Linked DNA regions of Nothobranchius furzeri. Each later gene encodes a partner of the first gene's protein in a complex. Links are inferred from orthologs where the notes say so. Each region holds a gene or a part of one and is shown in the gene's direction. Other genes may lie near its edges. The genes, in order: cdc40, bcas2, rnf113a, snrnp40 and rbm22.

What was found.
Region 2: cdc40 (region 1) and bcas2 share a complex: the UniProt entries of both Homo sapiens proteins name them as parts of the postcatalytic spliceosome P complex. The link is inferred for Nothobranchius furzeri from reciprocal best matches to the Homo sapiens genes CDC40 and BCAS2.
Region 3: cdc40 (region 1) and rnf113a share a complex: the UniProt entries of both Homo sapiens proteins name them as parts of the pre-catalytic and catalytic spliceosome complex. The link is inferred for Nothobranchius furzeri from reciprocal best matches to the Homo sapiens genes CDC40 and RNF113A.
Region 4: cdc40 (region 1) and snrnp40 share a complex: the UniProt entries of both Homo sapiens proteins name them as parts of the postcatalytic spliceosome P complex. The link is inferred for Nothobranchius furzeri from reciprocal best matches to the Homo sapiens genes CDC40 and SNRNP40.
Region 5: cdc40 (region 1) and rbm22 share a complex: the UniProt entries of both Homo sapiens proteins name them as parts of the postcatalytic spliceosome P complex. The link is inferred for Nothobranchius furzeri from reciprocal best matches to the Homo sapiens genes CDC40 and RBM22.

The regions. Positions count from the first base shown.
Region 1 is NC_091742.1:5,491,135-5,496,939, forward strand, and holds the start of cdc40 (pre-mRNA-processing factor 17), read left to right. Parts: upstream 1-2,367; 5' UTR 2,368-2,401; coding exon 2,402-2,593; intron 2,594-2,860; coding exon 2,861-2,947; intron 2,948-3,464; coding exon 3,465-3,594; intron 3,595-3,665; coding exon 3,666-3,752; intron 3,753-3,848; coding exon 3,849-3,988; intron 3,989-4,490; coding exon 4,491-4,587; intron 4,588-5,805. UniProt on the Homo sapiens protein: Required for pre-mRNA splicing as component of the activated spliceosome. Plays an important role in embryonic brain development; this function does not require proline isomerization.
Region 2 is NC_091755.1:51,936,571-51,942,649, forward strand, and holds bcas2 (pre-mRNA-splicing factor SPF27), read left to right. Parts: upstream 1-2,463; 5' UTR 2,464-2,574; coding exon 2,575-2,667; intron 2,668-3,449; coding exon 3,450-3,542; intron 3,543-3,630; coding exon 3,631-3,701; intron 3,702-3,817; coding exon 3,818-3,979; intron 3,980-4,067; coding exon 4,068-4,118; intron 4,119-4,206; coding exon 4,207-4,287; intron 4,288-4,374; coding exon 4,375-4,501; 3' UTR 4,502-5,010; downstream 5,011-6,079. UniProt on the Homo sapiens protein: Required for pre-mRNA splicing as component of the activated spliceosome. Component of the PRP19-CDC5L complex that forms an integral part of the spliceosome and is required for activating pre-mRNA splicing.
Region 3 is NC_091745.1:10,007,612-10,013,618, forward strand, and holds rnf113a (E3 ubiquitin-protein ligase RNF113A), read left to right. Parts: upstream 1-2,057; 5' UTR 2,058-2,111; coding exon 2,112-2,217; intron 2,218-2,517; coding exon 2,518-2,597; intron 2,598-2,669; coding exon 2,670-2,768; intron 2,769-3,023; coding exon 3,024-3,131; intron 3,132-3,221; coding exon 3,222-3,331; intron 3,332-3,413; coding exon 3,414-3,520; intron 3,521-3,610; coding exon 3,611-3,700; intron 3,701-3,772; coding exon 3,773-3,866; intron 3,867-3,935; coding exon 3,936-4,042; intron 4,043-4,128; coding exon 4,129-4,196; 3' UTR 4,197-4,260; downstream 4,261-6,007. Other genes in the region: rundc3aa (RUN domain-containing protein 3A), read right to left, coding at 1-101; strada (STE20-related kinase adapter protein alpha), read right to left, coding at 4,956-5,111. UniProt on the Homo sapiens protein: Required for pre-mRNA splicing as component of the spliceosome. As a component of the minor spliceosome, involved in the splicing of U12-type introns in pre-mRNAs. E3 ubiquitin-protein ligase that catalyzes the transfer of ubiquitin onto target proteins.
Region 4 is NC_091759.1:20,971,997-20,978,087, forward strand, and holds snrnp40 (U5 small nuclear ribonucleoprotein 40 kDa protein), read left to right. Parts: upstream 1-2,471; 5' UTR 2,472-2,604; coding exon 2,605-2,715; intron 2,716-3,339; coding exon 3,340-3,469; intron 3,470-3,542; coding exon 3,543-3,636; intron 3,637-3,728; coding exon 3,729-3,894; intron 3,895-4,005; coding exon 4,006-4,128; intron 4,129-4,448; coding exon 4,449-4,569; intron 4,570-4,642; coding exon 4,643-4,725; intron 4,726-4,870; coding exon 4,871-4,932; intron 4,933-5,026; coding exon 5,027-5,130; intron 5,131-5,204; coding exon 5,205-5,254; 3' UTR 5,255-5,380; downstream 5,381-6,091. Other genes in the region: zcchc17 (zinc finger CCHC domain-containing protein 17), read right to left, coding at 50-192, 280-380, 481-572, 673-773, 1,398-1,536. UniProt on the Homo sapiens protein: Required for pre-mRNA splicing as component of the activated spliceosome. Component of the U5 small nuclear ribonucleoprotein (snRNP) complex and the U4/U6-U5 tri-snRNP complex, building blocks of the spliceosome.
Region 5 is NC_091741.1:95,933,076-95,939,009, reverse strand, and holds the start of rbm22 (pre-mRNA-splicing factor RBM22), read left to right. Parts: upstream 1-2,423; 5' UTR 2,424-2,480; intron 2,481-2,580; 5' UTR 2,581-2,650; coding exon 2,651-2,704; intron 2,705-3,835; coding exon 3,836-3,889; intron 3,890-3,986; coding exon 3,987-4,016; intron 4,017-4,107; coding exon 4,108-4,240; intron 4,241-4,353; coding exon 4,354-4,454; intron 4,455-5,934. UniProt on the Homo sapiens protein: Required for pre-mRNA splicing as component of the activated spliceosome. Involved in the first step of pre-mRNA splicing.

The DNA.
Region 1 (5,805 bases):
AGCATTAATGAAGAATACAGGATCATATAGAACAGAAATATGTAGATTTACAAGCAAACTACCTGTGTACAGGCACTGACTTTGTATGCCTTAGTAAACAGCCATTTACAGTATCGATGCATAAAATGTAAATAGTAGGAACTTGAAGTAATCAATTGTAAATATCTTTTCACTTGAAGAATGCCATAACTGTGAAAACCAGTGCAGATTATTATACATGTGCAACACTGTTAAACCATTTTTCAGTAAGATAATTGTAATTTTTCCATGTGTTTATTGAAAAGGAAAAAGCTGACTAATCACAGAAATAATGATTAGTTGATTAGAAACAAGTGCTCAACTAGAACATTTGGAATTTGTGTTACAGCAGTTCATGTTTTCAACTTAAATATCAAATATTACAGAAAGTTAGCAAATCGGTAGCAAGTATGCAGGTGCTTCAGTATTGTAGTGGGCATAATCATCAACAGACACGTTTGTTTTATAAGAGGTTAAAAGTAATTTGTTTTAACCAGCGTTTCAGGATCATGAGGACATTTTCAGTCATGTCTTGGTGAAGCAGCAATGAAAAACGTGTTTCTTGATTATGTAAATAAAAACATTTAAGAGCATATTTTAGCCAAGAAAGCTCATTAGCAAATTCTAGTTTAAGGCTTCTATAGGAGAACAACAAGCAGACATGTTTCAAACTTTAATTAAAGTGCTCTGATCCTGGATCTGGGAAGGTTCTGGAGTGGCTGGTCTGAGGAGCTGGAGAGTGATGATGGAGAAGCAAGACAGAACATCTTCAGAAGCTCCTGTAAGACAAGTATAACAGTCGTTAAAAAAAAAAAAAAAAAAAAAAAACAATAGTGTGGCCAGGTGGATAAACGAGGACTCGGACGGGATTCGATCCCCAGACTCCCGGGTAAAAGTTATACGCTCTAACCAGTCAGCCAAAGGAACATTTGCTTGGCCAAGTAGCCAGGGCACATCATCAATCGGGATGTTGCGACAGCACACACACACACACACACACACACACACACACACACACACACACACACACACACACACACACACACACACACACACACACACACACACACACACACACACACACACACACACACACTGTCACAATAGTAAATACTGAAAGTGGATGAACTTAAGAAGAATGGAGTTTTGGACAGAAAGAGCACTGATGTTTCAGCTGGACTCACGAGCCACGAGGACAGACTGATACGGCAGCCACACTTTTAAGTAATCATCAGGTCTGACTGAAACAGCGTTTCTGCCTTTTACAGGTGGACAGAAAAAATAATAATGTTGACACATTGTTGATAATATTACTACATTTCAAGGCTTTTTCAATACAGTGAAATTAGTTGAAACAGAGCCGAGTTGTATTAGAAAACAGCAATCCGCACAGCCCGACAGCCCGGCGAATCTGGGATGAATTAGTGCTGCCTCAACCTCCTCGTCTTTCATTGGGTCACTGGAGTTTAAATTAAGTGGATGAGAAACCCATGGGGAGGGCTCTGCATAAATGAGAGTAAAGTTGAATTTTAAACGCGTTAAAACTGTCACAAAGTGGCGTTAAAAGCGGCGTTTTATGTCACAGGACGGCGAAAAAAGCGGCGTTCAATGTCCGGGACCGTTCAGAACGGCGTAAATTACGGCGTTCTGGCAGAGTTTTCGCCGTATTTTACGACGTCTTGGCACGTCAAACGGCGTTTTTTTCGCCATTTCTTAACTAGACGGGTTGGGAAAGTGGCGTATTGTGACGGTTTTGGCTTGCCATAGTGTGCTCGTGGGAGGCTCGCGGACAGCGCGTGCACCCGCAGCATTGGACAGAAATCCAAACCGTCATAATGTGTTGTCCAATGGATTATAATGAAAATTTAGAATTTATTCACCTAAATTACAGTAATAAAACACGTTCCTTCAGAATAAAATATTGAACAGTAGAAAAAAATAGCTTTTTCGTGACAGTTTATAGTTTTAGTTGAGTTCAGTTAGTCAATCACAAGGTATTTTTAACCCTGATTTGTCGCTCTTACAAAGCAAAATATGTAAAAAAAAAACATAAATGCATATTTTGGGAAGTTGTATATGCTGGATACAAAGTGTCTTAAGTTATTCCTGCAGTACCTTTAATGAGAAGTTTTTCTTGTACTTTCAAAGCAGTTTACTGAGCATCTTATGGGTTTTCGGAGGGTGTGCATTGTTTACTGAAGATTCAGGACTTATTCATTTTATATAATATAATATAATATAATATAATATAATATAATATAATATAATATAATATAATATAATATAATATAATATAATATAATATAATATAATATAATATGTCTTTCTTTTTCTTTAGCGGAAGTCCCGCCCTCCTGCTTCCGGCGACTTCACAACATTCAACATGTCTGCCGCTATAGCTTCCCTCGCTTCGTACGGTAGCGATTCCGACTCAGAAAATGAGTCTGAATCAAAGCCTGGTACCGAGAAAGTTGCCCCGGTGGAACCGGACGCTACGACACACCTTAAACCTTTGCAGCCTGGTTACAAAACATCTCTAGCTGTTCTGAATTCAGCCCCGGAGGTCGCCGTGAAGGTAAGCTAAGAGAAGTAAGCTAAATGACGTTAGCTCTACGTAGAAGTTGAGCTAGTTATGAACTTTGTTTCTAGTATACACTTAATTTTAGCCATAGAATTAGATATCGGTCTGAACCTACATGTAACAGTTTCACGCTGGTGTTTTCTTTGTGTATTTAAATTGGCCTATTTAGGCTGATGTATGGCACAAGTTATTCGCATTATAGTTAATTCATAGGTTTGGAATATCCCTTTACCTGAGCACATATTTCTATTTTCATGTTAGGAGTCTGTGGAGACTGGTATTCACTTGGATCCTTTTCTCAAAGAAGTTACTTACAACCCAACATATGAAACCATGTTTGCTCCAGAGGTAAGTTAGAGAAACTGATCATGTAATTTTGTGCGTAGTTCAATAGTTCGTGTTTATTATCTTAGCATTTTTGCAATAACCCTTTTTAACCTTCTGAAACTGAGCTTTGTAATAAAGAGTTATCATCGCAAGGTGCTTAAAGACTACTTTGTCCATTTTGTATTCATTTTGATGATTGTCAAATTCACTCGTATTTGGGATTTTGTAGTTATACGTTTCTTCTTTTTGAAATTTTCCTTTCCATCTGGACATTGATTTTTTTCAGCTATCCTTTAACTATTGTAAGGCACAGATGCATTGATTTTGTTTGTCCCAGTTACTCCCACTACACCACTTCAAACAAGCTTTAGTCCATCCTGTAATTCTTGTATTCTTAAATCTGTACTTAAATATTTAAATCTGAATGCTGGTCACAATTTAAACCTTGTTGGGTAGCAATGCATCAATCAGTGCTTAAGTGCATAAATAAGTTTATCCTCCTCACAGCGAATGATTGTTTTATCCTGCTTCCTCTTAGTTGGGACCGCAGAACCCTCATAGGACGCAGCAGATGGCAGCTCCCAGAAACATGTTATCTGGCTATGCAGAACCTGCTCACGTCAGCGATTTTATGTTTGAACAGCAGAGGAGGACCTTCTCTTCATTTGGTAAGATAATTCGTAGCTTTTTAAAGAGTTTGCAGTGATTTCACTGACTCTGTTTTATTTTCTGCTCAAAGGTTACGCTTTAGATCCTTCCGTTGACACACACCAAGTATCCTCTGTTAGCTACATTGGTGCAGTGGATGAGGCTGAGAAAAATAAAGGTAAACAAATATTTTTGACACTTTTTTAATGCACATCTTCATCAGATTATATGTTATGACATGCCCAAGCAACAAGTTAAACCACTTTTCCTCCAGGGATGACTGTGTTTGAAAGTGGTCAGAAAAAGTCAGAGAAAAGGAAGAAGGTTAAAGGTGGTGATGCAGGAGAGATTGATGGCTTTCTTGGACCGTGGGCGAAATATGTGGATGAGAAAGATGTGGCTAAACCAACAGAGGTAATGTTTTCTGTATAACATTCTCTGGCTGCTTCTCTACATAATTGGCTTGTTTAAAAGTTAATGTTCTTTAATATTGCAAGGATCAGTATTGAACAGGTCCTACAAGCATCACATTAAGATTTAATAAATGTTTTCTGGACCTCTAAAATAAATCATCCAACTAAAGAGTTTATTTTTTAACATTTCTCTTTTAAAAGCTCTCATCGCTGACCTATTGTATATACACTTTCAGAAACACAGTATGTGCTTTTTCAGGTGCTGCATTAGTAAATATTCTGTAATATTTTGACGTAATTTTGTCAAGTCGATCAAACACTGTGGAGGCTGATGCTTAATCCTGGCTATGTGATCACACTCGCCTACGCAACATCCTCAGGCTTCATAATCAGGCATCCACTCAAGATGAAACATATTTCCGTTTGCTCAGCTCGCCATGTTAATTAAATAAAATCTGATCATTGCTGGTAAATTTTCTCATAATTTGTGTTTTACTGCACAGGAAGAGAAGAAAGAGCTTGATGAGATCACAGCCAAAAGACAAAAGAGAGGAAGAAATGAAGAAGAGGCTCCTTCAGAGGAGAAGACCATTCTCCATGGTAATTTGGCTTTTTTATATTTCAATTGACAATTGTAGGTAGTTACGGAATAGGATTAGGGCCACTGGGAAAATAATAAGAAAAAGAGAATTCTGACTTTTGTCTTAGAATTCTTACTTGTTCTTCTCAGAAATTAGACTTTAATCTCAGAATTCAGATTTATTTTTCTCAGAAATCTGATTTATTTTTCTCAGAATTCTGACTTTATTCTCAGAATTCTGACTTTATTCTCAGAACTCGAACTCGTTTTTCCTCAGAATTCAGATTTTTTTGTCTCAGAATTGTGATTTCTTTTTCTCAGACTTCTGACTTTATTCTCAGAATTCTGACTTGTTTATCTCAGAAATCAGATGATTTTTCTCAGGAATCTGATTTTTTTCTCAGAATTCAGATTTTTTTTCTTCTCAGAATTCTGACTTTTTCCTCAGAATTCAGATAATTTTTTTCTCAAAATTCTTACTTTATTCTCAGAATTCTGACTTTTCCCTCAGAATTCAGATATTTTTTTTCTCAAAATTCTTACTTTATTCTCAGAATTCTGACTTTTTCCTCAGAATTCAGAATTTTTTTTCCTCAAAATTTTTACTTTATTCTCAGAATTCTGACTTTTCCCTCAGAATTCTGATTTATTTTCTCAGAATTCTGACTTTATTCTCAGAATTCTGATTTATTTTTTCTCAGAAATCTGACTTTATTCTCAGAATTCTGATTTATTTTCTCAGAATTCTGATTTATTTTCTCAGATTTCTGATTTATTTTCTCAGAATTCTGACTTTTGTCTCAGAATTCTGACTAGTTTTTCTCAGAATTCTGATGTATTTACTCAGAATTCTGATTTATTTTCTCAGAATTCTGACTTTATTCTCAGAATTCTGATTTATTTTTTCTCAGAAATCTGACTTTATTCTCAGAATTCTGAATTGTTTATCTCAGAAATCAGATTTTTTTCTCAGAAATCTGATTTTTTTCTTCTTAGAATTCTGACTTTTTCCTCAGAATTCTGATTTTTTTTCCTCAGAATTCTGACTTTATTCTAGGAATTCTGACTTGCTTAGCTCAGAAATCAGATTTTTTTCCTCAGAATTCTGACTTTTGTCTCAGAATTCTGACTTGTTTTTCTCAGAATTCAGATTATTTTCTCAGAATTCTGATTTATTTTCTCAGAATTCAACTTTATTTTCTCAGAATTCTGATTTATTCTCAGAATTCTGATTTATT
Region 2 (6,079 bases), on another chromosome or scaffold:
TGTGTGTGTGTGTGTGTGTGTGTGTGTGTGTGTGTGTGTGGACTGGGACAAAATTACATGCACCTTGTACCACGTTTTCATTAAGTATACATGTAATTCACGTTTTGTGAATTACATGCACATTGACATTAAGAAAAACTCTGGGGTTCTAACTGTGCCACAGCAAATTTAAATTATTTTGCCTTTTCACGGTACATAACATATACAATGAATGTTATACAATGTACAATGCATCAGTGGTGCTGGAGATGTTTCATTTAAACTATCAAGTCTTGTTTTCTGTTGTATATGTTACAACACATACAGACACACAAACACACATGCTGGAAGCATAGGTGTCTAAATCCAGTCATTTTTTAACTTTTTTCCCCTACTGCCACTGTCAATATATTTTGTGATTGTTTTTCCTAAATTCTTTTTCAGATACTGCTTCAAGATGTCCTCTGACAGTGATGATGAAAGGAGTATCTGACTTTGGCTGAATAAAGCAGAGTTTATAACTCTTCCACAAATTATTAAATAAGAAAATGAGCAAAAAATACCAACTTATTTATTATGGGACATGTTCTATACTAAATAGCCATTTTAATTTACAACCAACATCCAAAATACTTCAAATTAAGGCAACTGGACTTCTTTGGTTTCTTGAAGATGTTTCGCTTCTCATCCGAGGAGCTATTCCAGTCAGAATTGTCAAAGCTCTTTTTTCCCCTGAAGCAGTTTCTCCTGAAACCTGGGACTTATTTCCCATGGTCTGAAGTTTGACATCTGAGACCTGAGGATGTATTTTAGAGGGAATAAATATATCTCGAGGCCATGACTGGCCACAAAATGCTTGGCCACAACTTAATACATGGCCATGACGAATTTAAAGTTGCTATAACAAATTTGGAAAACTAATTGGCTTACAATGTTCATGCCTGTTAAGAGTTCTAGTATAGTTATGAATATACTGTGGAGATTTAAAAAAAACAAGAAAAATTAAGTCGTTCTTTCGCATTTTTCTAAAAAGCTCTACCCAAAACATGTTTTGTTCTGAAAAGCAACTATTGGGCCATCTGGTTGTCGGTCTTGCTGAACCACCACACTTCTTTGGATCCTCCATTTTTTACGCACTCACATATTTTGCAACAGAACACTGGTGGGAGAGGTGCTCAGCTCAATAATATCAGAGGAGGAACAGCTGGCTGCTACCACTTCAACTTTAGAACAAAATATGAAAGTCTCAAAAAGAAAAATGCCATTTGAAGTTGCTGACAACAAAAGATGTCTAGACTTATGGTGACTGACGGTTTAATTACTCTGGCAACGCAGGTGTCCATTTCCAGTAGAAGTATCTCGGGGAAGGTAAACAAGGGAAGAGGGTGCGTGTTTTGTGATGGTGTTTGCGCTCTAAACCTAGCTTGTACTGTAGATTCACTAAAGCAGCTTTAACTCATGGCCAACTTATCAATTTGTGAGTGTTCGAGAGCTCATCTATACTGAAAGGATCTCCTCTTAAAAGCCCAAAAGTAGTTAATTTTAGGTTTCATCATAGGGTTACTGATATTTCTTTTAAAGAATACTAACCAAATGTTTTATTTAATTAATTAAATCATCCCCCCCAAAAAATTAAAAAAAAAAACATCGTTCAGATAACCTGTGGAGATGATCAAATGAAAGAGGATGGGTTTCTCAAGTTTTCAGTCAATCAATCAATTGAATACTTTTTTTAAAAATCTCTGATTTTTGTTGGAATGTATTTCTTGCATTTGAAGTGGGTAAAAAGGCTGGTATTTTGTGCACACCAGCCAGACTTACCCCCTTTCTATTCTACACATTGGCATGGCTGTCCAGGCTAGAGATTCATATGAGCATCAGATCTCATGTACTCCAGATAGTATCAGTCTGCATCAGATAATTTCTGAGAAACTATCTGGTGTGGATGAGATATTATCTGGTGCCAATGTGATTTTGATTTAAAAAATGGAGCACACATATGGCTTGTGGTGGTGGCAGGGTCAGTGATCCAAATTCTTCAATTGTGTCTTCTACCAATCCACTTTTCTACATTAAAAAAATGGTCCAATGCTGTCATAGTCAGGTGACAAAACAGAAAATGGGAAATTACGTTAATGCTCGTTAAACACACGCGCGCGCGCGCGCATTTAAAAGAACCTTCTTGGAGCCTCTAAAACTAAGTCTATATTAAAATATTACAAGGAAATGTTGCGTCTTGGAATCGTGTTTTGAAGAAATTATGGGTGGTTTAAAACGTTTGCACAGTTTTATATGGGGTCTTGTACATAAGGTTTCAAGGAAAATTTACTAAAAATTAGGGTAGAGGGAAAACAGGTCACAGTTGGAGTTCAACTGTATTTTTATGCGCATCTTCGATGTGCATCTTCATCACGCACTGCCTTCGTCACATTCCTATCGAACACGGAACCGTAAGCATTATGTATGAGCACGGAAAAAAATGTAGGACATTTTATTTTGAAACTCTTCACCGGAAAAAGAACTTGGGTTCAGTTAGCTACTAGCCGCCGAGGAAGAAATAAATCAACAAATTAATCAGTAAATAGACTCATTAAAATGGCCGGGACAGCTTCAGTAGCGGGTGAAGTGTTTGTTGATGCTTTGCCGTATTTCGACCAAGGTTATGATGCGCCAGGTGTCAGAGAGGCGGTGAGTGAAATAAAAAATGTTTGCTATCAGAAGCGTGTTAGCCAACACGCTACATGGAAACTTTCATTAATCCTTAAAGTCGATGGCCTTTTAACTGTTAAATTAATATTACTTGTATAGACCAAACTAACGCGTTTATTTTTATATATAGCTGGTTAGTGTTTATTAGTGCGTAATAGACTGCTAGACGAAGAAACCAAAGAATCTCAACAAATGCACGAATTTTGTTAAAACAACATGAAACGAATATAAATTTTATATATTTGCATAATAGGTCGCAGAGACATTTTATGACATGTTTCCTTTCTTTAAATTTGGTTTATTTGGGTTCTAATGTGACTAATTATCCTTTGAGTTTGGCACGGGAAAAGATGCATAATTTGAGATTTTAACACCTAGAATCTTTCAGATTCAAACTGTGAACTTGTTGAATTGTATAGTTGATAATGCCACATTAAACCTTGTGAACAGTGATCAAATGGTTATCTGTATTTGCGTTTAGTAAATAAGGATGTAAACAACGTCATAGACAAGTACCATTTTAGGCATCTTTGGAGCTTTTATGTGGATGTTTTATAACTTCTTTTTGTACTTCTTGCTCCTTGTAAACCTAAAATCAGATTTAGTCTTCATATATTAGTTTATTTATGTATTTAATATTTGTCATCCTTTGTTATTACAAAATAGCGAATTAAGCTTGACAGGGCATTGCCGTAGAATAGTAATGAGAAAGTTGGTTTTAAAGCTGCAGAACCAAACATAAACCCTGTTTGATCCCTTAGGCAGCTGCATTGGTTGAGGAGGAGACAAGAAGGTACAGACCTACGAAGAACTACCTGAGCTACCTACCTACACCTGACTTCTCTGCTTTTGAGGTAAGAATCTAATTAGAAATGTGAGGTCTTCTTATGGACTTTCAGACTTTGACACAGAACTTACTGCACTTTGTTTTCACCCTTCCAGACAGAAATTATGAGAAACGAATTTGAGCGGTTAGCGGCACGTTCGCCTATGGATCTTTTGAGCATGAAAAGGTAAAAACTGCTCTGGTGGTAGTTGCCTTGCAAGATATATGTTTGCTTTGCAAATCATTTGCTCAGTATTTTAATAAATATGGACATTATGTTCTAATATCTTCCTGCCTGTGAAGATACGAGCTGCCAGCTCCAACTTCAGGACAGAAGAATGACATTACAGCGTGGCAAGAGTGTGTGAACAACTCCATGGCCCAGCTGGAGCACCAAGCAGTTCGCATTGAGAACCTGGAGCTCATGTCACAGTATGGAACAAATGCATGGAAAGTCTACAATGAGTGAGTTATGGCAGCTTTTATTTTTCAGAAATAGTACCATTGTTTTATTTGAAGACTGTTAATTATTTTTTTTGTTCTCCTTCCACAGTAATCTGGCTTTTCTGATTGAGATGGCTCAAAAGGAACTCCACAAATTCAGGTGAATTGCGATGCCTGGACATTGTTTGCTAATTTAAAGGGCTTTGAGAATTCATATTTAGAAGCTTAACAATTACTTTGGTTGACAGGAAGCAAATTCAAGATTTGAACTGGCAGCGTAAGAATGATCAGCTGGCAGCGGGGGCCAAACTACGCGAGCTGGAGTCTAAGTGTGTCTTCTGAACAACTTCCATGTCACTGTGTGGAGAGAACACGTTGTTTCCAGATGTCTTAACATCTGTGTTTTTGTTTGACAGTTGGGTGTCTCTGGTCAGTAAAAACTACGAGATCGAGAGAGCCATAGTCCAGCTGGAGAATGAAGTAGGTCAGCTCCGGCAACAGCAGGGAGACGAGAACAAGGAGAACATCTGTCAGGACTTCTGAAGAATCACGCAAACTCAAAACTAACGTTCCCTCAATCAGACACATTTTCTACAGATCTTTAAATCAACCACATGTTTAGGATTTTCCACTAAAAACATTGTTGGAATGTTTAAAATGAACTTTTATCAGAATCGTGTTTGCTCTAAGCAAAACTGTAGATTCCGATCTCATCTTATTTCAGGCTGAAAACGCAAACACACCTGTAATAGTTTTATTTTCTGTTTGCAGCGCTTTAGTGTTTGTTTTGTTTTGCAATTTTGTCATTTCAGACACAGCTGAGTTTTCAGTCCTAAGTTTTATGTTTGTGCTACTGATACCCTGGCAGTAGTTCCAATAGTTACTACACATAAGCCTCATAAATCTAGCTGTTTTTTAAGTTGCCTTTCAACAAAGTTTTTAGAATTGTAAATAATTTGTCAGATTTGAAGCCAAAATGAAAGGACTCCACATTAACTTACATTTATTATTTTCTAAAATGCTGTTTGTAACAAAATGAGCTTTTATAATAACTTCCATTGTCATCTGTCTTTGTTTTTTGTAACACGTTTATTTGATATTTTTAAGCTCAACTGGGTTTCTCAGTTTGACCAGAGAACAGACATGATCAGTTATCTTTGCCCTCGTTTGGAGATGAGGGCAATAGGGAATATTTGTTCCTTTGTTTACTCATTAGTGATGTAAAAAGTCCAGGACAACCCCTCTGATCATTTTAAGTAGACACTGAATATTGTAACTTTTGTAAGTAGTTACTTTTAATAAATTGTCAATAGAATGTAAAGGTACTCAATAAAATGTAATACTAGATATGGATTATAAAATAATCCAACTATAATATTTGATGATAAAACCAGGTAATTTGGGTTTGCCAGGGAACTAACACTTTATAATACTTTGACACAGGCAAAAATCTAGTTTTTAAAAATCTATTTAATACTGTATTTCTACTACTATGATAATGCAGAACAAATTATAAATGAGTTAAGGTCATGAAATAATAAACCTTTATGTTGATTTATTCATCACTGTAAAACAGTCATATTATATCACTTCAGATTAAACATTAATTATACTTAACCTGTTAAGTAAACAATTTTATGAGCCAGAATAATATATTTTTATTAAAAGGGAGTTAGATAAAAGTCTTTTCTCCTGTGAGGAGACCTTGACTTTGTAGGCCCGATAAGTCAGGAGATATTTCACTATCGCCTGTTCCTGGTGTCATGACACCCCTGGTTGTCATGGGTGGCACACTGACGAAGCAGGCCTTATCTACGTTACAATATTAAAAACACTGGCAACACCTGTCATTTATCTGTTATGGTGTGGGTTTGTTTGCCTCTACCACACCCCCACCCCCAACTAGGTAATTACTGGGGTTTTGCCATTTTTTATGAAAACAAGGGCAAGTTGGGATAGCTGAAAGGGAGGAAGAAAACATTAAATTAGGATTGTTTAGGTACATAAATAATGGCTCCTTATACACTTTTAACCCTCTGAGTGCCTGGTCTTTTCCAGAAAACACATTAAAACTAATCAATAATATGAATCAGGGATTTTTTTCCACATAAATTACTTTAC
Region 3 (6,007 bases), on another chromosome or scaffold:
ACCGTGATGAGGTTTTTTCTTTCCACGGCGACGCTCCGAGCAGACGCCTTCTTCGATGTCAAACCCATAGCCATTGCTGTCTGAATGCAGCCCGACTCCATTAAGCGGCGGCGGCCCCGGGGCCTCTTCGGGATCCGTGCCCAGGCCAGGACCGCCCCCTCCACCGGTCCTGCGTCCTACCACCACCCGCTGTCCTCCGCAGGACGCCAAGGATGCCGCCGCTGCTGCTGCAGGACGACCGGAGGTATCAGCGTCAGGTTGTGCGTGATAACAAGCTGTTTCCGGTTAAGCGTTTCAAAATAAAACCAAAATTCCTATCGGTTTTTAATAAAACTGTTAGAAACCAGCAATGCTTTCATTTCTGATATTTCGGTTTGCATTCTATATGGTAATATCGAAGAATAGATTCATTTTATGCCTTCATAGACTTCGTATAGCCCCGCCAAATGAACAATTACAAGTAGAAGTGTTTATTTGAGATTCAGAACTATGTTTTATTGGTTAATGGTTATAGTTTTACTGTATTTTGTTTAGTGTTTTATGTTTTATTTTTATTTCAGTAGTTTATAGCTACATTTATTGTCCAATTAAAACGCATTATTTTCCGGTTTAAAACAAAAATGACCTCAAACATTTGTGTGTGTGTGTGTGTGTGTGTGTGTGTGTGTGTGTGTGTGTGTGTGTGTGTGTGTGTGTGTGTGTGTGTGTGTGTGTGTGTGTGTGTGTGTGTGTGTGTGTTCAAATAATAAAGTTAAAGTCCCATAGTCATCATCACACTGGTGAAATTCATCTCCACATCTGACACATCCCGATGGAGAGCAGGGAGCTGCTGCAGTGGCTGCGCTCAGTAATTTGGTTGTTTAACCCCCTAATGCAACCCTTTAAAGCTGAGTGTTAAGCAGGGGGGGGGATTGGGTTCCTTGTTAAAGTCTTTGGTATGACTAGACCGGTATTCAAACCCGATCTCCCAATCCCAGGGCAGACACCTGATAGTGGCCTAAATTGTTTTATATCTGAAATGTTTGAGAAGAAATTACAAACTTGTTAGTTAAATTTCACAATCAAAAAGAATTACTTGATGTTCCTCTGAGTCTACAGCAGAGGGACAATAGGCCACCAGAGGGCGTATGATCTGATGTGTTTGTAATGCTGCTAATAGTTTTTGTTTTAGCGCGTTAATTTAATCTTGTTTAACACAGATAATTATGATACATTTATTAAGCTTCATCGGTTGTGTAGTTTATATAACTGCAGACCTTCTGACCTCTTGTTATTTCTTTTATTTTGAAAGGATTTATAGGAAGTGCTAATTGGTTATGTGTTGTTCAACTTTATGTGAACACTGTAGTAACCGCCTCTGACCGCCAGAGGTTGGAAAAAACCCTACTCTCGAAAGCCAGAAACTAATTGAGTTCTTGTTATCAAGTTGACATAAACAATACATTTAATCACTTATAGACAGATTGTGTTGGCATCAGTTACGTCAAAAGATTATTTAGACAAAAAGCAGTTAAACATAAAATTTTCTTACAAATTTATGTCATTCGTTTTTATTTATTTTTCTTTCTTTTTTTGTTTTTTGTTGTTATGGTTGTTGTTGTTGTTGTTGTTCTTGTGAAGCGCCTGCTCATGATTATTATCTTGAGCGGTCTTGTAAAAGATCGTTTCTTCTTTTTATCAACGACATTTCTAATGGCTATTTTTGTGTATTTTGTTTATTAATCGTTTATACATTTAGTGTCCAATCAAAATGCGTTAATTATTTTTCTGTTTAAAACTAAAATTACCTTTTAAAAATTATTTCAAGTACTACGGAAGAGGATTAAGGCCACTGAAAACAAAGAATAATGATTTAAATCTGAAAATTCTGAGATTAAAGTCAGAATTATCTTTCTGTTCATTTTTTTATTGTATTTTTCTTTTGTTTTCATTGGCCCTCGTCCGTTCTAACATAATATTTTAGGTTTACCATTCTAGCCAGAGCCGCGTTGACTTTGATTTATGGACGGTTGTGAATCTCATTTTGGCAGAAGGAGCGCGTCACGTTTCGCCTCCAGAACAACAGGGGGCGCTACTGCTCTGGCAGCCACTGTTCTTACACCAACAAAAACATGGCGGACCCAGACAAACCAAAAGCAGCTACTTGTACGTTTTTGTTTAAAAAATCCACCAAGAAATTCTCCGGAAGAAAACGAAAAGCAAGTGACAGCGATAAAGGTAGTAAACTATCATTTAGATACATTTCCTTGTAATTTTCTCCTAACTAGCGTTGTCTGTCCTCTGGATAGAATTGATAGCGGCTTCTCATCAGGGAGATCAAAACCGCGACCCAAACAGTTTGTTTATATTATCCTCCATAATAAACAGGACCAAAAACATTATGGTTTATCACCTGAAAGCTACATTTAAACAAAGAGGGGAAGTAACCTAGTTTAATTGTAATAGATTTTGTAATGTTTGTTTACACCAATTGTGTGTGTGTGTGTGTGCGCGTGTGTGTTTGTTTGTTTGTTTTAGATGGCGATAGTGACACTGAACAGACTGCTGTGGTCAGAAAAGAAAAGAAGGATGCTCGAGTCAACCCCATGATTCAAAAGGTAGAGCAGGCAAGCTAATAGATACTTAGTTATGAAGCAGCAACGTGAATGATCTATGTATTCTTTGTTCAGACAAAAAAAGTGGAGAGGGACGCTGTGTCTTCTAGTGAAAGCGAGGAGGAAAAGGGAGACAAAAAGATAACGGTTGCTTACAAGTCTTCCCGATCAGCGGTGAGTTCAGACTGCATTCATTCAAAAATGTCAGAGCCAGACAGTACAAGTCAAACACTGATCTTTTTTCCATCATGGCTCAACCTGGCTGTTGAGACAAAACATACAGGGGCTGAAACTTCACCAGAAAAGCAAATTTTAACATTATTTTACAATCTACAGACCATTCTCATCCACGTACACATGACTATGTGCCCTGAACAGTTGTTTTTATTTACTTTAAAACTTTCTACTGTACCTTGCCTTCATAAAAAGAAACCCGAGGGGCCTGAAGACATGGGTGCAACTGCCACTTATCAGCTGGACACAGAGAGAGACAAGGATGCTCAAGCTATTTTTGAGAGGAGTCAGAAAATCCAAGAGGTAGGACATGCCGCTATTGGTTAATATAAAATGAGAAATAATCAAAATCTCACCTTCGTCATTTGAGCTTTCCCTCCTCTGTCTCATTAGGAGCTAACAGGTAAAGAAGATGATAAAATATACCGTGGCATCAATAACTACCAAAAATTCATCAAGCCTAAAGACACCACCATGGGCAATGCCTCTTCAGGCATGGTCAGGTGAGGCAAGAGATATTCACATGCAGTCAGAAGATGTTGTTCACCTATAGATGCTGAAGGTTACGTTCAATCTGTGCTACAGAAAAGGACCGATTCGAGCTCCTGAACACCTGAGAGCTACAGTCCGGTGGGACTACCAACCGGATATTTGCAAAGACTACAAGGAGACGGGTTTCTGTGGATTTGGGGGTTGGTGAAAACAATCTGAACTCTTAAAACGTTCCTACTGTGAAGTCAAAGGTTTTGTTTATTAATCATGATTGCATCCGTTGCCATTAGACAGCTGCAAGTTCCTCCATGACAGGTCGGACTACAAACACGGCTGGCAGATTGAGAGGGAACTGGAGGAAGGGAGATATGGAGCAAATGGTGAGTAAATAATCGAACTTGAAATCTTCTCTTTTGCTGGCTAGACTAAGTTTCTGATGTGTTTTCATCTAGATGACGAGAACTATGAGGTGAGCAGTGATGATGAAGACTTGCCCTTCAAGTGCTTCATCTGCAGAGAATCTTTTAAAAATCCCATCATCACAAAGTAAGTACTGCGATGGTTTCTCTCCTTCAGTCCTTGTTTATTACCGGCTGGTAATCGCTGTTTCCTTAGGTGTAAGCACTATTTTTGTGAGAGCTGTGCTCTTCAGCATTATCGCAAGTCAAAGCGCTGCTACGTGTGCAACACTCAGACCAATGGTGTCTTCAACCCCGCTAAAGGTAAATGCATTTGCTCAAAAACATCCAAGAGGAGCAGAAACCAAAGTAAACAGTCACACTTGATGTTTTATTGTCATTTATTCTAGAGCTGATTGCCAAGATGGAGAAACGCAACGCTTTAGCCGACCAGCCACCGTCAGACGAAGAAGATTAGAACACGCTTTAGAACCCTCTCTGTGTTTGTCTGTGTACATTTCTAATAAAGTTCATGGCCTCGGTTCCTTTTGTACAATCATGTTGAAACACTGAAGCAGGCCTGGGTTTGTAGTAAAAGTTTTACATTTGTAACACGTTGCTTTGTCCAAACTTTCAAATATACATGCAGACAAAACCAGCACCAAGAAAACATTTACATCTGACGTCAGTAACACCCAGAGAGCCGAAGAAAAGGCTAACTTTTACGCTCTTAATGCTAAACTAATAATTACAACCTGTGCAACAAAAGAGTCTGAACCGTGAGACGATGCATCTGCTGTAGCAGACCGGAGCTAAGAAATGCTGTCAGTCCTCAGAGAGGACTGCTAGGTGCCCTTATGGTCGTCTCCTGGAGCAGACGGACCAAATCGTGTTAACACAAACGGTGGAGCGTCTCCTGGTAATATTACGTAGCAGCATTTCATTGATCCGTCTCCTGACCTTTATGGTTTGGGCTACATCTACCTTTAGAAAACTCAAGAGTTGTCCTTTTGGTTCGTGGGTGTGTGTAGAGTACAATCCGTGTAAATACCTGTGTGAGATAAACCAGTGCAGAGCAAGAATCCGCAAAGAGAACAAAAGTGAAGTGAGTCACCAACAAGAGGGTAGATGACTTCACTTTTAACCTCTGAGAACAACTAAGATTCGTAAAATCCCATCCTCTGCACAGTCGCTCAGTACAATCTTGAGCTCGTCTTTCCCGCAAAGTCCTCTACTCTCAGAAGTCCCAGTCATCTACTTCCAGTTGGCTGAAACCCGACTCCAGACTCGCCAGTCCAGAAACCGAGTCCAGAGGCTGGGTGCTCTCAAAGCAGGTGATGGGCGACACGGGTTGCAGCAGCTCGGGTAGAGCCTCTGACGGTCTGCGTTTGATCTAAAAAGTCAAACATTGTCAGTCAGACTTGCAGCTTATATTTTAGCCCTGTTGTCCATATTCAATGTTTGAACTTGAAATGTGATCATGAGGAATATTTTCATGTCCAGATCGGATTTACTCTGCTGCCGAAAACACAAAAAAGTTACAAGATTTATTTTCTGAACTTTGCTTTGAACTGGTTAAGACCAAGTTCACTCACTTTTCTTACACACCTGCAGTGGTCTCTAGTAAAAATGAATGCCTTGCGAGTTGACCTCTGGGGTGTAAAAGCTCTGGTGCTCTTGTTTCAGGAACTACAGGTTAGCCAGAGGAGTGGGGGGGCAAAACACGGCAGGATTTGGAGTTTTACTTCCTGGTATGCAAACATCTCGCCTCTGATTGGCTAACAGCAACATAACTAACAATGACATCCTGCAACATTTTATCTCCACAAATAACACGAGCCTGAAGGAGTTCTGCTATGTTGTGGAATTGCTAATGCTGTTAGCTTCTACTAGCTGAGGCATGCTCTGCTCTCTCCTGGGTGCGAAATCAACAACGGCCTTCCCGGTTACGAGCCAATATGAGTGAGTCAGTGTGACGTAGATTTGACTGGCTATAACGAGCACTCTACGCTTCATCCAACTGTACTTCGGTGCTCGACAGCTGTGGAAAAGAAAGAAAAGAGCTAGAGCACTCGGGTCAGACATTTTTTTTCCCTGAGTGCTCCATCTGTTTTCTTCTCATTGTAGATCTGATTGGCTTTTCTAATGTGATCATTTCTCCGTCTATTTTCTATCAGCGGCAAAAGCAGAAAATGGAGGCAGAGGACTATTTTCACATTCGGCCTGCATATGAAACAGATCATTCTTCATAATTAAGTAAAAGAACAATTTCTCAGCGAAGTCTCTCTT
Region 4 (6,091 bases), on another chromosome or scaffold:
ACGGACATGCGAGGACACATGAGAGCGTGCCAAGTTGGTTTGTAATCACCTTCTTCTTCTTTTTCTTTTTCTCTGAATCTTGCTGAGGTGCTGCTGCCGACGTCTGCTGCCTCAGCGGCTCTTCGTCGTCCTCTTCAGGAACGAGGGCGTACTGCAACCCCGGAGCCGAGAAACAGTCCTTAGTAAAGTGGCCTGAAAGACGTAAAGAGTTAATACGCAAACCTTAAGTAAATAAAATATGTTTTGAAGTGAAATCTGTTTTCATCTGTAGTTTAGTACCTTTGCAGCCACATTTTGAACATGTGGTGTTGAGTACGGCCTCCAGTGTGATCCTGTTGCTGCCCTGATCTCTAAACTGCCTTCGCCGCCTTGCATCCTGCCTGCAAACACACACACACACACACACACACACACACACACACACACGACTATAACAGGTCTGTTAAAAACACACACTCATACACAAATGTAGACACTCACTCCGCTTGAACATTGTTGGGGTCCAGGTCCCTCCCTGTCCCTTGATTGACAGCTTTCATTGAGAAGGACAACTTCACCTTCTCACCCTGAATCTGAGAGTCAGAGGGCAGAATTTTTATTTGCTGCAGATTCAAAGTAAGCATGTGTGTGTGTGTGTGTGCGCGTGTGTGTGTGTGTGTGTGTGCGCGTTACCTCCCGTCCGATGACTTTAATCCACACCTGTTCCCCAACATCCACAATCTCTGAGGCACTTTCAACCCTAGAGGCAGACATCTCGCTCACATGTACCAAACCTGTGTGTGTGTGTGTGTGTGTGTGTGTGTGTGTGTGTGTGTGAGAGAGAGAGAGAGAGAGAGAGCAAAGAAAGAGAGAGGATTTTTAGTGTGCCTCAATGGATTTCAGACAAAAACAGTTGAGCCAAAATGACCTGAAACACAAATAGATTCTTGTTTAGATGATCTGAGATCTAAACATTTCCTTAAATTTAATTTAACTTAATATTAAGACCTGAATAATACATAAAAAGCACCTATATTTTGATAATAAATACTCAAATTAGAACCCAAACCTTTTATCTTTTTTCCATCTAGTGGCAAAATATTTTAGGGCAACCACTAAAATTAGAATTTATCATCAGAGATAATGAAGTATAAAAAGTTTGGGACAAACTTCTTCCTATTTTAGCCGTTGATGCTTCCCAGTGCTGCATCTGCTACTAAAATTATAATATATGGTATTAAATGAAAACGTTTTTTTTAAATAAAAAATATAAAGTTAGCTGTAGTCATCTAATATCTCCTATTTTTCTTTTTACAGATCCATTACTGCTTTAAAGGACTCACTTCACTCAGCTGGTTAATATTACTAATACTGGTATTTCATTTTTAAAGATTACAAGCTCTCAGCCTTCTACCAACCTTCCTTCCTGTAACCAGGCAGTCGAACAAAAGCTCCATATGTTTGCACTGAAACCACCTCTCCCTTGGCGATGCTGTACATCGGAGGCAGACCATCCAGCCCGGCTGGTTCTCGACTCGAGCGGTCACGGTTGGACATCGTCTCAATCTGGGCAAACAGTTGGAGGATTAAATATATTTCAATTCAATAACACAACACAGATAAAAGACGAAAGACGAGGAAAAGTTAAAGAAACCCAAAATAAAAGCAATATTGTTCCTTTTACAAAGTAACAGAATAAATTTAAGTATTTATATTGTGAATAAAAATTATTAAATAAAAATCCATAAAACTACTTTCTACGACAACTATTATGTTTTCACAAGTCAGGAGTAGGCAATAAATCAAGTTCAGTTGAAGTTATCCTTCAATTAAAATGTTTTTTCTTCGTTTTCATTAAGAATTAAGCTCAAATAACCCAGTTTAATAATATTAAAACTAGACTAAAAAGACCAGCCATGGTCTAAATTTTATTTAAACGGTAACTGCATATTTTCTAACACTCCATACATGTGAAACAGACTGAGAACCAAACACAAAAAAATAAATAAAAACAAAGAACACAGACAAAAATTGCAGCTGTCAGATTTAAAGAAACTAGGCTAATCTCAAAAACGAACAAATAGAATTATTAATATTGTAAATCAGTTTTAATTTTCAAAACATGGATTTATCTTACCTCAAACTTCACTTTCCATTACATTAATTCGAGCGGAGTAAAAACTATAGGAGACAATATCTCTGGAAACATGAACAGGATAAACGCAACACGAGCATTGGTGTTTACATAAAACCCTCTAACCTATTCCTGTTAAACTGCTCTATGATACATTAGTAAACCAGACAATTGTGCTATAATTAATATATTTTGCGTAATGTGACTCTAACTCTTAAGAAATAAAAATAATTGCAATACCTTTTCCACCGACTAAACTGTGCTAGTTATACTTCCAGGTCAAATTGACGCCAGGAAGAAAATCAGCCAATCACTGCAGCCTGCGCAAATTTCCACCAATCACGAGCTTTGAACCCGGAAGTACTTCAGTGTCTGTCTTCTTTGGTGGTTTTGTTTCCTCAGACGTCTTTCGTCGAAGACGTCCGTTAATTTTACTAAGTTTTAGCTTTGCATTTACTCTATTTAGCCGCTTTTTGTTAACTTTCCCCGCAATGATTGAACCTCTAAAGAGACCCGGAGACATGGCGATGGTTCCCACTGCGCTGAAGCGGCCACGGATGGAGCTAGTAGCGGCGGCTCAGTCTCAGCAGCTCGTGGCCACGGTAACGTAGCCCTGGTGACATCCGACTGCGTTTACATTCAAGATTAAATCATACTTACCACCTTTATAGTAGTTATGTTTTTAAGTTTGAGAAAAGGGCAAGCTATGCTAGCCGGGGACTTATGTATTCATTAACCGGACCATGTAAGCAGATTTAGTCACGTTTTCATGATTAATGTAAACATCAGAATAGTTGACAATAGAATTCAATATGCAAAAAAACTATTTTCAAGAGCGTGTTGGTTATTGTAATTATGTATTTTATTGGTAACAATATTTATTATTAAAACAGCCTTCCTTTTTAATATTTGATTCAAATAACAAAGCATATATAATAAATAAATAAACTGTCAAGATGATCAGAGTTCACTTGTGCATCAAAGGTAAAATATATATACACAGATATCACCTTTTATCATAATGCAAGCTTAAGGAAACACCAGATTGTAATTGCCACTGGTGCAATTAGGATCTACTTCCAGCTCCTACATGATTAAAGGGAGCATTTACTTCACTCTCTTTGCTAGATCTCAGCAAGTCATCCAGCTCGTATGCATTTAAAGTAAAGTACCACTTGTTGTTTCTGCACCATAATGCTGCAAACCTAAATCACTGATCCCCATAGGGCCATCCACGCACCTCCAGCATGCAGGCTCCCATCATGTTGATGTCTGGCCATGAGGGGGAGGTCTACTGCTGCAAGTTTCACCCCAATGGAGCTGTGTTGGCCTCTTCAGGATTCGACAGACTCATATGTAAGTTTGTGTCAAACAGTAGCAGACATATGTTTGTTAAAACCGCTTTAAAATCTCTGTTACCATGCTGCAGTGTTGTGGAACGTGTATGGAGACTGTGAGAATTACGCCACCCTGAAGGGTCACAGCGGAGCGGTGATGGAGCTGCATTATAACACAGATGGCAGGTAGAGACGGTGGAATATGATCAACTAATATCTGGTGGATTATTGCGGAACTTGAGTCAGAAGTGTGATACAGAGGTGTCTGTGTGGTTCAGCTTGTTGTTTTCAGCCAGCACGGACAAGACTGTTGGCGTGTGGGACAGCGAGACAGGTGAGAGGGTCAAACGTCTGAAGGGACACACCTCCTTTGTTAACACCTGCTATCCAGCTCGCCGAGGTCCTCAGCTGGTCTGTACAGGAAGCGACGACGGGACGATCAAGGTCAGGCTGTTTTCTGGGTGTTTTGCTGTGAAAATGAGGTCCAACACACACCGTTCACACACACCTACATTGTTGCACGTTTTGTTTAGCCTGATGTTTTTTGTTTTCTAGCTGTGGGACATCCGCAAAAAAGGAGCCATCCACACCTTTCAGAACACCTACCAGGTTCTGGCCGTGACGTTTAACGACACCAGTGATCAGATCCTGTCTGGAGGCATCGACAACGACATCAAGGTTAAAAAAACAGTTTTTCTTAAAGGGACTCATTAAACTGTTTATCTTGAAGAAAGTCAGACTAAACATTTTAATCCCTTTAACAACAGCAGATGGTTGCAGTGATGCTCTGTTTCAGCCATTTTAAAGTTGATTGACTGAAGATGTTCAGTGAGATTTATTGTCAGCCCTTGGTTGTTTACATTTTTGTTTGCTTCAACTCCAAACGCAAGTTTATTTTTTGTTGATTGTTGCAAAAATGTGAAATGTCGAAGGCAACAAATCGGCTCCAGCCTAAAATTCTCTCCTGGTCGTTGATCTGAAAGCTTTGTGTTGCTCAGGTGTGGGATCTGCGACAGAACAAGCTGATCTACAACATGCATGGACACGGGGACTCTGTAACCGGGCTCAGCCTGAGCTCCGAGGGGTCATACCTTCTGTCGAACTCCATGGACAACACTGGTATGCTCGGCTTCTGATCCTGCTCATCTGTGCTTGAATCGCATCCCTCAAAGAGTCTCGCGTGTCTTTGCAGTGCGAATTTGGGACGTGCGGCCGTTTGCACCCAAGGAGAGGTGCGTGAAGATTTTCCAGGGTAATGTTCACAACTTTGAAAAGGTAATCTTCACTAGCAGACAAATGAACAATTCACTTCTAGGTCAATCTGAGAAGTCGTACATATCTGGACTAAAGAAAACCGCTTTTTAGCTGTGAAAGCTCCGGGTCTGTGTTCTTCTCATGTCCTCTTTTCCTGTTTATTCAGAACTTGCTGAGGTGCTCCTGGTCCACTGATGGCAGTAAAGTAGCCGCAGGATCAGCCGATCGGTGAGAAACGCTTTGGTGACTTTTTAAACCCAAACGGAGTAAAGATAAGGCACTGAGAGCCACTTTTGTTCCCCGCTCTGTGCGTCTGCTACAGATTTGTGTACATCTGGGACACCACGTCTCGCAGGATCCTCTACAAGCTGCCGGGCCACGCCGGTTCTGTTAACGAGGTGGTGTTTCACCCAGAGGAGCCCATAGGTGAGCGACAGAACAGGAACCGGAACCAAACACAAGAAAAAGTCACTCATTTATTCTTTTCTGTGTCTTTGCAGTGCTGTCTGGCTCCAGTGATAAACGTCTGTACATGGGTGAAATCCAATAAGGTGTGTGTGTGTGTGTGTGTGTGGGTGTGTGTGGGGCGGGGTCTGCCTGTCTCTCAAGCTTTAGTTAAGACTAAACTTGTGTTTTTTACATATTTCTTTTGAATAAATGTCATTATTCTATAAAAGAGTTTATTTTTTTTATCTGAAGCACCGATTCCTCAGTAGGGGAGCAGGGAGCTGGTGTCAGGTCCAGCAGTCAGGGGACACCCTGCACATGTCTCAAGTCCTTCACAGGAAATGAATCGGTTGCCAGCACCAGCAGGAGCTTTTCAAGCAATATGGCGGAAAATGCCCCACAAAAATGACTCCTTTGACTCCTAAAACCAGGGTATCCGCGGGTCCTTAAAAAGTCTTAAAAAGTCTTAAATTTGCTTTTCCAAATTTAAGGCCTTAAAAATCCTTAAAAATGACAAATAATCCTTAAATACAGTTTCCAAAGGTCTTAAATTACCAAAGACCCAATAAACAAGATTATTTTATTTCTATAAAATTTTGGTGAATTTCTAGTTAGCTCAGGATTTTTTGTGTATGATGTTGGCGTAAGCGGAACTGTACAGATACGGTTGGTTGTGAAAGGGGGCTGTTTTTAGAGGAGCATGTTAGTGGGAGCTTGCGCCATGGGGAGGTGCAACATTAATGGTAACTGGATGGTTAATCCCACGTTCATGACGTGGTTAGCACCGGTTCCAGGCAATAGCTGGAAATTATAACTGAAATTTAATTTTAAAAAATAGCATAAATTTGGTCAAAGTGGCCTTAAAAAAGGTCTTAAAAAGTCTTAAATTTGGCTCCCTTAAACCTGCAGATACCCTGTAAAACAGAAACATTTGGGTGAA
Region 5 (5,934 bases), on another chromosome or scaffold:
CACCACCGGAGCCACTAGATGGATTTTGATTAAAAAACAAATCTATGACTCTTCATTCAAATCTTAAACTGATTCATTTTCTAGATCAATTCAAATCAGAATAGGTTCCACAGCTAATCATAGCTATCCCCACTTAACAATTGCTTTAATTCACTTGTTTCCACACTAAACTGTGGTGTAGTATTAGCTTATAATCATTTACAACACGAGTGTTCCACAATCTCATGACATCTTTGCCAAAAATGTAACCATTAATGTTTCTGTGAGATGAGCCACTGGAATCTTAATAAGTAATCACAGGTTTCAGGGATGGGATTAGGCTGTTTTTCAGGGTGGCTGAGCACTCCTGAAATCTAAATCAGCACCCCTGAAAAGCAGCTGTCACCAGGATGTTAAAAGACAGCCTAATTCTCAAACCGTACAGGTCCAACCCCCAAGCTCTGATTCCTGTAGTTGAACATTTTCTCACCTTGCATGATCTCACTAAGACAAATCTTTAGATTATTCACCCTTAACCGTTACTATGATTCACCTTGAGATATACCAATGTTTTATTGTGGAGTTAGCATTGTGCAGGGGTGCATTTCAGTGCATGCTGAGGATTGACCTGTTAAATGTTAAGTGCCATGCCCCCCCCCCCCCCCCCCCCCCCCCCCCCCCGCCAATGCCAGGGGCAGAGGAAATGTTGTGTCAACTGTTTCCTGTACTTTGTTATTCTAAGATTTGAAATCATCATGGATCCTCGTTGGGTAATAAAGCCGTCAAATATGGTAGTAATTTTCCGGGGTAGAGGCACTGTCACTAGGGAACCCCTGAAGATCTGTTACCCTGTTTGGGTCACAACGGATTCACAGCAAACACAAAAATGGCTGCAACACTTTATTATAGATATTGAGCCACACTGTCATGCTGAGAGGAATTCACAGCACTCTTGAGTGCTAACCCATTACAAGAGATCTTGCAACACTGTGTGAGATCATGTTATTGAAGATTTGCTCAAAACAGCTATAACTCCATCATGATGTTAGTTTTAGACTCTGGCTCATTCAAATGAGTGTATTTATCAAATCTAACAGGACTCCAGAGCTCTGGAACAATGAGCATCTGACATATAGTTGAACGCGTACATATCTGACCTTGTGACTCAAAAGATTTTGATTACAGAGCAGTGTAATCCAAGTCAAATCCTTTCAAAACGGCTTTGGTCATCTCATCCATATGTCACATGAGAGGTCACATGACTCATTAGGGATTCTCAGAGGGTTTACTCTGGTGTCCTACAAATAATAAGGTGAAAATCCCGACTGTTCGCCCAGATAAGGAGGGATGCAAGAGGTAGAGGGCCAGTGGAAATTTCCATTATGACCACAGGGCAAGTGACAGATTTGTACTTAAAGTTGGTTCAGTATTGATGTTTTTATCTATGGAGTCACCAAAAGGGGAGCGTCCCCGAGCTCTCCAGACCCATATCTGATCTCTGCCCTGTGACCACAACCTCACTCTGCACTTAAATAAACATTCAGGATTTAGTCCCCAGCCATTATCTTCAGCATCCTTTGGCCACACTAATCAGAGTTTCACACAACAAAGACACCCCAACCAGGTTCGAACCAGGTGGATGGCTAAACTATAAGTGGTCAGCGCAATAGGCTTAGACGGCTCTGAAGCGTTTGCCAATCAGTCTGTTTCTCCCTTTTCTCTGTCACTCAAATGCAAAGAGGTATAGAAAGCAAATGAATAATTTATTAAGTTTTGATAAAAGTACACGCTTATCTAATAAAAATAAAAAAATGCTTAGTGTCAGTTCCTGACAGTCTATTTAATAACAACACTGCATTTTACTGTAATGGGAAATTTTAAATGGGAAATGTTATCAGTCGAGCCACAGATATTCTAGCAGAGTAAAGCACAACACACACACACACACACACACACACACACACACACACACACACACACACACACACACACACACACACACACACACACACACACACACACACACACACACACACACACACACACACACACACACACACAGGAGGCATATGCTGGAGCGTGTATTTTCTTCTTTTGGTTTAGCTAAAGGCAAAGCATTAGAAAAGGATTAGGCCTGTATCTAATTCAGTACATTTAACTAAATAACTGTGTAATCACTGCTCTGAAAATTGTTACTTATATTTTGACTCACACCGGGCAATTTTAAATAATGAAACATTATTTTTAAATGTTTAAGAGTGAATTGGCTCTCCCATGTGGCTAGACCCTAAACTGGGCTATATTCGTGTGGCAGTAAAAGAGGATGGAATAAAGTTATTTTAAACTGGCGCGGTGGCTTAAAACTTTCTATTGTACAATAAATCGTGCATGTACTTTCATGCACAGCAGCTCATTCTCTCTGCTTTGTCTTGCTCATGTTTTTCACGCGAGATTTTAAAAATAAGCTAACGTTGCACGTTGTTGTGGCTCCTGTACTGCAGGTTGGTACAATCGTTTTACTGACTGACCGATAAACGCCAAAACATATTTTATAACCGGCATTTTCAGAAGTGAAATTAAGACGATAGTTTCTTGAAATAGGGCGACATCCAAAGGCGACGCGAGGCTTTGTGGGTGGACCTCTGTCGGTGTTTGGCTCACATTCTGCAAAATGGCGACTTCCCTGGGATCTAACACCTACAATAGACAGAATTGGGAGGACGCGGTACGTTAATCTACGATCATAATATTCACATAAATGAGCGACTGATTGAAATATTTACCAGTAACCACACTCTGTCTAATGCTGTTTTTCAAATCTGCCCAGTTTGCTTAGTATATAGTTAGCCTTCCGCTAGCTAACGTTAGCTATATGTAGCAACGTGGCTGCTATTTTGTTTAGCATCTAATATGAACAGAAATATTTATATGCATGTATTTTTGTCCAACTAAAATCTCAGAACAAGCTGTATATAGTAAGTGGCGATCACTCAGATGTGGCTTTAAGCCAATTTTATTCCGTTACGTTAACACGAAATATGCTAAAGTTAGCCACTCAAGCTAGTAGGCTAACATTGTAGCCTGAATGTAGTTAGGTAAAATGTTACTGTTATATCTTTAAAATGACGGTTTATTTTTTATGCGAGTATACGAGAAATTAGACCAATACCTAACAGCTCTAACATAAATATAGCAATAGTCATTTAGCTACTAGATAAGCACATACTCGTTTTTTACTTATAATCGGCGTCATGGTAATATTTCGGACCGTAAAAGTTGGCACATCCACAAAATCATCAAGATATACACAGTTATTCAATGGTTAATCAGAACCTGCTTTTACCATTTGTAAGTCTTGTTTCTGGATAATTGGTCAAGTTATGCTTTGTAAAGTACACTGTTTAGTTATTAATATGAATTTTTTACTATTTCAACAGCAATGTTTACGGCAAGCAGCCCTACTAAATAAGGGAATACATTAGATGCCTTTTTTGAGATACTGGACAACAGTGTGTAACAAAAATTGGTTTTCTTGAAACATCCGATTGTAAAGTCTGTAGCCTTAAGTAGTCGATGTTAAAGCTACAAGAGCTGTTTATATTTAGATTTTTGGCCGAAGCTGTCAGAAGGATGGATTAAATCCTGGTCATGTTCAGCAGCTCACATTAGACTGAAACAGCATCCTTTAACAGATGTGTAAATGGAGGACATGTCTTCCCACTGCATTCTTGTTTTCACACATGTAAATGAACCAAGATACCCAGGCAGAGCACTTTCTGCTTCAGATATTTGGGATAAGAAACTGTTCCACAAGGTTGTGCTTAGTTTGCTGAATGAACATCTTTTATTTTCCCAGGATTTTCCAATTCTGTGTCAGACATGTTTAGGAGAAAATCCATACATACGAATGGTAAGTGTGCTCTCCTGTGTCATAATTTATTCCGGATGTAGTTTACTGTTTGTACTTTTAGGCATTCAGGTGTAAACATGTCCTTGTTTTTTAACAGACCAAGGAAAAATATGGGAAAGAATGCAAGGTTTGTGCTGCATTTTATGTTTATGCTGTTTGAAATAAGCCACTGTTTCCTTTAATGCTGTTACTAAGTTGCTACTCTTTTTCCCTGTCAGATCTGTGCTCGACCCTTTACGGTGTTCAGGTGGTGCCCGGGCACACGGATGCGTTTCAAGAAGACAGAAGTCTGTCAGACCTGCAGTAAAATGAAGAACGTTTGTCAGACGTGTCTGCTGGACCTGGAGTATGGTGGGTCTCCCTAACCCACTTCCTCTTGTGACCCATGCTCTGCACTCTTATCATATAACTTATGAAAAAAAGTTGTATGAAATGAATCCCTTGTTTCATCTTGTTGTTGACAGGTTTGCCCATCCAGGTTCGAGACACGGGGGTGTCTGTAAAAGACGAGATTCCCAGGTCAGACGTGAATAAAGAGTACTACACACAGAACATGGAGAGAGAGGTAACATCACAGGATCTGTTTTTCTGCTTAATCAGCTGGTAGATGGATTTGTTGATCTTCTTCCATGTTGGATTAGTGTTTAAAATAACGTGGTGCATATCTTCTCTTAAAGGGATATTCCATCCCTTTGTGAAAGTCAGTCTGTTACCATATTCCCCAGAGTTGGATGGGTGGGAAAATGCATTTTGTAAACAAATACTTCTAACCTGGCAGTATTACGTTAGCTTTAGCTTAGCATAAACAATGTAAGTGGATGGTCATTCAATTCAAGTTTATTTATATATCGTCAAATCACGACAAGAGTCGTCTCAAGGCACTTCACATAGTAAACATTCCAATCCAGGTCAGTTCATTAAGCCAATCAGTAAAAAGTTTCTCACATAAGGAGCCCAGCAAATTGCATCAAGTCACTGACTAGTGTCAATAGGGCTGTAGCGAAGCCTCGACGAAGTCGACGGCTCGATTCTAAAAATTTGTCGACGTCAGATCCGGAAGTCGACGCACCGCGCCCACTTGTTGCATCCCCAGGAGTTTGTAAATAGAGGAGGAATCTGCCTGTTTTTCCTCTAGTTCGCCCTCTTCTCCGCCTTCACTAACATCTCCGCCAAATACCGAAGACCCGGAACAACGTCCGTCCACTACTAGATTATTTTCCTGTTTTGCCCCTTCGTCTCCCGGCAACGGACAACAACTTCCGGGGTCAGATGCGCTGCTTCGTGTCTATCGCAGATGTAGAAAATCACCGGGAGCGCTTCTCCCTTCATTAAGGAGCTTCTTTCAGACATTAGGAGAGCTGTTTTGGTGGTAGCAGTCTCTCCTCCGTGCTGGTCTGTTTGCTGCTGGGTGTTTTTGGTTTATTTAAACTTGGTAACTTGAACTTAATGTTGGTAAAGCTACTGTTAGCATCTTCGCTAACAGCTTCTTGCGTTGGGATAAGCTGTTACGTTTTGGTTTAGAGTTCATCTTTTTTGTGGTGTAGATCTCCCTTTTATTACATTTAGAGTGTTGTGGGTTTTCGGTTTAGTGTAAAATATCACCTGAGTTTGGTTTAACCCGTAAGACCACTCGCCTCACGCACATAAGTGACCAAAACAAAGCAGCATGGAGACACTCCATCTTCTACCACCTCTCAGGCAGCAGCCTGCACTCCCAAGTTCTACACGTCACCAGAACATAACCAACCGCAACACAATAAAAGCAGTGTTATACAAAATGGAAGGCCTGTAGTGTTTATTCTCTTACAGTAAGAATTTATCAATTTTTTTGAGGAATTTATTTGAGATTTTCTGGTTTTTGTTAATTGTGCAATAGAAAAATAATCATTAGATTAATTTTCTAAATAGTCATTAGAATAGTCGACTATTCGATAAAATAATCGTCAGAATAATCGTTTTAAAAATAATCGTTTACCCCCAGCCCTAAGTGTCAATAACTTTACAGCAATCCTCATACTAAGCAAGCATAACCACTGGCGCTGCTG